Drosophila melanogaster: one gene and its partner. The protein of the gene in region 2 interacts with the protein of the main gene of each other region in a pairwise test. Each region holds a gene or a part of one and is shown on either strand. Other genes may lie near its edges.

Evidence for each region. Proteins that work in one complex are often made in the same cells at the same time.
Region 1: the proteins of teq (region 2) and tx interact in a two-hybrid assay, tested with the Drosophila melanogaster proteins (one large-scale study listed by BioGRID).

Annotation. Positions count from the first base shown.
Region 1 is NT_033777.3:26,439,135-26,442,892, reverse strand, and holds the start of tx (taxi), read right to left. Parts: upstream 2,116-3,758; 5' UTR 1,157-2,115; intron 1-1,156. UniProt on the Drosophila melanogaster protein: Probably plays an important role in the differentiation of epidermal cells into the tendon cells that form the attachment sites for all muscles.
Region 2 is NT_037436.4:9,072,967-9,076,724, reverse strand, and holds the start of teq (tequila), read right to left. Parts: upstream 2,083-3,758; 5' UTR 1,947-2,082; coding exon 1,896-1,946; intron 1,662-1,895; coding exon 1,103-1,661; intron 1,054-1,102; coding exon of another isoform or gene 859-1,053; intron 706-858; coding exon of another isoform or gene 460-705; intron 407-459; coding exon of another isoform or gene 1-406. Other genes in the region: CG4942 (uncharacterized protein), read right to left, coding at 2,406-2,996, 3,054-3,518.

The sequences.
Region 1 (3,758 bases), on a different chromosome or scaffold from region 2:
TTACGTTGAGTTTGTTTATTAAAATTGGCACACACTGCGTATGTGTGATGTGGCCGTGTTTACATTCACCGTCTCCCTTCCACCACCGTGTGGATAAATACGAATACGTATGAGTTATATTTTGATAGCTTTCTGTGTGGTTTTGTATTACCCATCGGCTTTTGATTTGCTTGATTTTTTGACAGGTCTCTGGCATTTGCCTACGACTAACTTTTATTTTTCTTGATTTATTCCTGCTATTGTTATTGTTTAAGTCTCTTTGCAAGGAGGGGCGCTGGCTTTTCCCACATACGATCGAGATTTGGGTCAGGGGGACAGCAAACAATGAGGTAGGCAAGTATATATAGGGTAGCAATAGACTCATGTGTCCATAAACTAATTTAATTTTAGATGCACCTTTCCATGGCAGAAAAATCATTAAAATTTGACTCGATTAATGCGTGTATTTTTGGCGAATTTTTTTTTTGTAAATCATAAAATATTTATGACGAATAACATTTTTTAATCATGTATTGAGTCAGCCCATGAGATGCTAGTTTATTTTAGCTTTCGACAAAATGAATAATATATTAATATATTAAATAAATAAATGCCAAATTAAAATCGGCGATTGACTGGCTGCCAGAAACCAATTTTACTCGATTATTTGGGCAAACATAGTGCTTGTTGCCGAATGGTATGGCGAAAATGAAAGTAAATAAATAAATGCCGGCGTTGATTAGCACATCACAGATTTAAAGTGAGTGGCAGGTTAAGCGGGACTCTCATTGATGATGAGAATTCACAGCTTTTGTTTGCACATTAATTAAACTGTTCCCCCTACTTTGGTCGCAAACAAACGCAGCCAAGTTGCTGCTTCCCTTCGGTAACCTTTGAAAATCAGTTGACAACTGGCTGTCGTCGCCGTTTTCCCTGCTGAGCAGCTCGAAAACATTTTCCCCTGCACACATCTGGCTTTTCAACACCTTGGACAAATAAATGTTTCAGAAGTTTCTTAAAAGCCCGCCCTGCCCCATCTGCCAGCCACTAACGTGATTGGACAGAGGAATGCCTTTTGTCTATTTTTATTGGGGCGGCAACAAGAGATCGGGCAGATCTTCTATATCTTTTCTATATCTGAACGCTTATGTCTGATAAATGGCGGCGGTATATTTACCTTTTTGATTTCATAAATCCAACAATGTATGGCTGCGGGATTGGTCTTTCAGGATGATTTGAATTCAGTTGTGCACTCTGATTAAGATTTGTTGATGTTTTTATTTTAATTTTTGGTTCATTAAAGTTGCGCCAAAGTATGCAAATTGAAATTCCGACAACGCGCTGTCTAATTAGTCACCCAACTAATTTTGATATGCGATCTTTGTTTGAATTTTGTTTTGTTTGGACTTTTTTTTATTCTTTTCGGATTTAAAGTTATTAGCTCATGCATAAATTTGGCATGTTAACACAACAAAAAAGGTTTGTTTTCAGTTTTTATTTCCTCAAAAACTTCTGGAACTTGTTTTGGTTTGAATTAATATTGCGGTGGTTGTGGTTGTTGCGGTTGTGATTGCGCCGCTGGTTTAACTATTGATAATAACTTCGGTACGGTTTTCGCGCATTCTTGAGTTGTGTTTATCTTGGGCCTGCTGGAAAAGCCTCGAAGAATGGATTTTCCGTGAAAACGTGCAAGCCGCGTGTGTCAGTGCGGCGGTACTAATGTGTGCGGCGGTGTGCGTGAGGCCGGTTGCTAAAAATATCTATGAGTGCGCGTCGCTCGCGTTCTGTGTATCTGTATCTCGGAATCTGTATCTGTATCCAATATCCCGAGATGGCATACGAAAATACACGGAGAAAATGCTGCGCTGCGTCCGCCTGCTGCGCTTGTCGGCTGTGCACTGAATAGATATATCTCGCGGATCGCTGGGATGGTCTGACTTGGTTTGGCTTGGGATGCGGTGGCAGCTAAATCAGCTGACTACTGCCCCCAGTTGGCTTTGACTCCGTTAGCCAGGTTAGCGGCTCAGGTGGGCGGCGATGGCAGTGGAAGTCGGACTTTTGGCTCACTTGTCCGCTGCGCTGAGCGTGCGGCGCGCTATTGGAACGATCAATGAATGAAATGCCGCATTAAAAGGCAGCACAGTCTCGTTTTCTCAGCGACGACCAATAAACCGAGAAACCCACTGGCGCTCGCCAACGCCAACACAAAACAGCCCAGCGCACAACACAACACAACACAGCACAGCTCAGCACAAAGTCATTGAAGAGAAACCAGTTCTCTCTTTCCCCAAATATCCACATCCACCCGATGTGTGGGTGCTTTTTGCGTTGGCCGGATCGGATGGGATCGTATCGTATCGGATCGTATCGTATCGTACTGTATCGCATAGTACGGTCCCAGTTGGTCTTTGGCGCACTCTCTTGAGTGATTTCCGATTCGGATGGATTTTCGGTTTCGTTTCGAGTGTTTTGAGTGCTACCACGAGTACGCGTAGACGGCCCCCTGAGATTTCGTATGATCTAATATCGCCAGGCAGTTATTTATTTAAATTTATTGCTAATTTTATTTGCTGCTGCAGCAGCGCTTGACATTCATTTGTACAAGTCAGACATTGCTTGAGCTCACTTGAAAATAGTTAAAAATGTTTATTCGCCTTTGATTGAGATGGTATCAGCTACCAAAGCTTGACTTGTGTCGGATCTCCATTTTTAAGGTTGAACTTTGGTTGCCAGACCATAAATGATACTCATTCTTGGTATTTATTTGGATCAACTTGGATTTCGTGGCGAATTATGAGGCACGTCGAAGTAAAGTTCAAGGAAATCTCCTCATTTGTTTGTCATTTAAGTGTTTTAAGAATGGATGGTGGAATTTTGTTGTTTTAACTTTAATTCATGACAAGTATTTAAAGTATTTCCTGTAAGATAATATAAATATATATAATAACAATTCTTCGAAACGTGGTGTTCAGTAATTTTCAGCAATTTAAATTGTAATTAAAATATTTTTGATGGGTATCTGATAGCCGACGCTTTTGACTCCTGTCCATATATTTGGATTTTATAATTTATTCTAATTCGTTTCGATCAGTTTCAGTTCAGATGTATTGGGTGTGTGCACTTCTCAAGTTGTTTTCACATAGCGTCTAATTTCAAAGTGCTAAGCTGATTTCAAAGTCACAATTCAGTTGTTGGAACCCGATTTTTTTTTATTTTTCAACAAAGAATATTGTTTAGAGTCATGTTTGTATAGTTTGTTTTTGCTTGCATTTTGTTGCTTCGCAAATAATTATAATTAACTGAAACAGGCAAATAATTGCAAAATGGATTTGCTCCTGCAGGCAAAACAAGTTGTTTTCTCATTATTGTAGCTATGACGACATACCCGGCTTAAATCTCGAGTTTGCCCCGATATACTCATATACGAGCATTTGTGAATAAATGACTTCGGGCAATAGACCGATCGACTCTGTGACTGACTGGCGATTAATTTATCTTTGTGCTTCTGTCTTCTGTCTGAAGGCGAGTTCGTCATCGTTTGTCGTGTTTTGTTCTTGAGTAAATAAATCATGATGACAACAGTTAAATTTGATTATGATTCTTTTTTTTTTCATGCCCAGAAAGCATACATTTTTCATGGCACAAGGTCGTCACACATTTTAGGAGAGTGGAAAAGTAACGCATGCAACATTAATTTGATTTGCGTGCGAAGGGAGCTGAAAATCAAATTATATATGTACGAATATTTTTGATTAACTGAGCGTATTTAAAAATACATA
Region 2 (3,758 bases):
TGACGCTGGGAGAGGCTGTAAAGCTGTCCAGTGGGACAGCATATGATCTCTAATGCTCCATATTGGCACCTGACATAGTGGCCAGCATGGAATGGATAAGGGTAATTCTTCTGGACATTGGGTGGACACGATCTAAGTGAAGACAGCTGGCTTTGAACATTTCCCCGTAAGTCTTGAGAAGTATAAGTGGTCTGAACTTGGACTTCCTGCCAGAACTGCACCCGATCAGATATGTGCACTTGATGACTTGGAAGACAACTTCTTTGGGATACACTGAATGCCATCTGGGGGCCACAACTTAGGATGGACATTCTGCCACCAGACGAGCACTGAACGTACTTTTTAGCATCGTAGGGATACAAGAAGATGCCGTTGATGTTACCAGGACAGGCATTAAGGATAAGTGCTAGTAAAATATTATCATAAATTCTAGTGTACAGTGATGATAAAGTAACTTACAATACTCATAGCTGATTTCGGAGATAATTAATGTGACATAGTCGGTAAAGGCTAATTGTGCTTTTAACTGACAGTAGCGCCTCGATATGCTAAACACATAATTAGGTTGGCAGTTTTGCACAGCCGATTTACCATCCTTACAACTAAGGAATTTTGTTTGATCAAAGGGATGAACAAATTGGCCAACGGCTCCCACTGGACACAAGAGATAGTTGACCTGAATCTCAGCCGACGTGAAGGAGGAAGCTGTTACAATTCAAAGGGATCAGGATTAGAGTCTATCAACTAAGCAGGCAAGCAAAGCGTGTACAGCGTAATATGAGAAAATAACCCGAAATGAAAAAGCAGATGAATCAAGCGAGGCCAAGCAGTAGGGATAAGAAATGAAATGACACTTACAGGAGGTCCGAGGGGAGTCAGAATACACACATACCGAAGAGGAGCCATCGAAGATGTGGCCCCGTGGACACTGTTCCACCTGAGGCTTAACCCCAATTCCGCACCTCAAATACTTGTGCACGTCGTGCGGATGTGGACGAAGCCCACGTGTACCGGGTGGACAGCCCAAGTCATCAAAAGGCAACGCAGGGTAGCCTAACCGAGTGTTAGTCAAGATTTTTGTATTTAAATCACTCATACGTACCGGTGCCGGAGGTATCATCTCGTACTGCTCCAGTTCCCGATCCGCATTTGGCCAAATCCTTGTGCACACATACCAGTGATGCTGGACTAAAAGCAGTTCCTGGTGCGCAGTCCATAATAAAAGCTTGACCATTGGCGCAGTTAAGAAACTTGCTGCAATCCGAAGGATGCGGTTGCAATCCATTCACTCCCGGTTGACACTTGGGTTCACTATCTAATTGCCTAAGTCTTCCCAGTCGAGTAGATGCAGATTCCGCTGAAGGGCAAACCACATTGCTGGGATGATCGCACACCTGGGTCCTGTCATTGAACAGAGTTCCGGGCGAACACGTCTGAATGGTGGGGCTGCCATCGAAGCAGTTCACATAGCGATGACAGTCGTGGGGATATGCAACCAGACCCGTAAAATGCGGCGGGCATGCCGAATCCCGATGGTAAATAGGCTGCTGCTGGTCGCCTCCGTAACTCGAGTGTGCGTTCCCTGTTGCTGATAAGCCAACTGGTTCCGACTGCTCGCTGTGGTAGCCACTGCCTGATCGATAAGCTTTAGCCCCGGGTCGCTGTCAAAAGCGCAATTATGAAATATTATTGAACAACCGTAAGTAATTAGAGGCAAAATTTAGCTAATAGCTTGTAATTAAGTTCAATTAAAATTAAAGTCTTAAGCGCGTTTTAAATTCCTAAACAACATTTTTAGTTTGACTAAAATCTTAAAAAATTGTAAATAATCTAGAATCTAGATGATATCCTTAAAAAACACAATTTGAAATTATTAATAAACTTTCTACACTAACATCCACTAGCAGGATCGCCAGCCAAAGGCCAAGGAGCCACTTGGCCATCATTTTACGTTTCCGCTTTATAAGTATTTGAATTTAAATATTTCTTAAAATGCACCGATGCTGATAGCAACTACACAATTGTTTTTCTCGCGCTTTAAATTCTTCGTTGTGATCCCGTTCGAATTCCAGGCTCGACTGACCCACACCCAGATCGCATTTCAATTCAATTGGACTCGGGATGAATCTCTATCTCTGCCGCCGCTGATAGATGCTCTCGTTTGTCGCCAAACCAATTGAGTGGACCACACTATCAGGGCTTGTAATCTCAAGACCTTTTTGCTGTCTTATCGCCTTGTTTTGTTTGCATTTCTTTTGGGGTTTTTCACTCATTTATTTACTTCTATGAATCTGAGATGTTGGAGCTTAAGAATGATGATGATGAATTACAGTGGCGCAGTCGCATTTAAACAAACTAAACGTCATACCCAAATTAGACTAGGTGATTATGACTAAGAGACTAGATCATTTGGCTGCCGGCTTATCAGCCGGCGCCCTCTCGGCAAGTCTTAGCCTCTGCTGTATTTTTAGCCAGAGCAGATCGTACGGCTCACTGAGTTCCGTTTGTGTTTTGGGAATTCCCACAGATCGTCGCACTTCCGGCGAGAGGATGAGCAGATTTTGAGCAAGGCCAAAACTGCTGGAAGCTACCCAGTATACACATAAAGCTGAAGGCACTGTACAGGCTACTGGAACCATCACAACACTCAATCCACGGAACACATTGTTGGCGATGTTCTGCAAGCGTGTAGAAGGACGAGTTCTAGACATGGCTTGCACTTCAATGATGGCCAAATTGATAAGACCTAATGCTACAGGCAGGATATAAGAGTTATCCACCACCGTAAGGTTTGGTATCCAACCAAATCCGCCAATGGTCATTTCGGTGGTCACGATTTGAGCTTGAATGGACGTGGGATCCGGCAGCATGTACACTAAATTGCGCAGAGCCACGGATTGAAAGATCCACAGGGGAATCTGACCCCATAGCACAATCATGGTCTTCATGGGATGGCAGTTATCCCGAACTATAAGGTTCTGCCACTGCTTCTTGATCTGTAAGATAATTGACATGACGAAGAGTGTCTCGCAAACATTTGAATTTTAACAAACCGAACGCCGATAAACAATCTGAGTCTGCTTTTCGCTCCACTTGAACTTGTGCTTGGCCATGGCTGCCTCTTTTTTCAGTTCCTCCACAATGGCCGGCATCTCCAGCGCTATCTTTTCAATTCTGGCGGTGATTTTGTGCTGGTAAATGGTCAGAGGCAGGGTGACCACGCTCCGAAAAAGGAAAGTGGACAGCACGATGGACGCCCACCAGGGCAGGCCACTGTAGTCGTGGATCTTAATGAGAACATCCTGCATATAGGCCACCGGCGTGCTGTTGGACAAGGTCTGCCAATATCCCACCAATCCACCGGCATTTGCCAGTTGGACACTCGCGGCCGCCGCTTCTGTAGACGACAGACGATGATTGCATGTGTGATTCGCAATAGTTGTTCCTTGGTATGTGTATTTGTAGATGCCAGCAATTGATGAACTTCTACAGGTGCGTAAAAGAAGCAAAGCTGACATTTTTAATTAATATAAAACTAATAATCAACGTAAACAACTATATAGAATCAGCAGTGCGAGTTGTTATCATTGTGAACAGCTGATTGTTACCATAACACGGCTTCAATCAGTGTGGCCGTAGCTAGGCATTGTAGTTGCATTAACCCTTAACTTACGATGCTTTTTTTGCTATCCGAAATTAGGAAACATTGAAATGCAGTTATTAATTTGAAATCATTTAATCGTTGATAAGAGAACAAT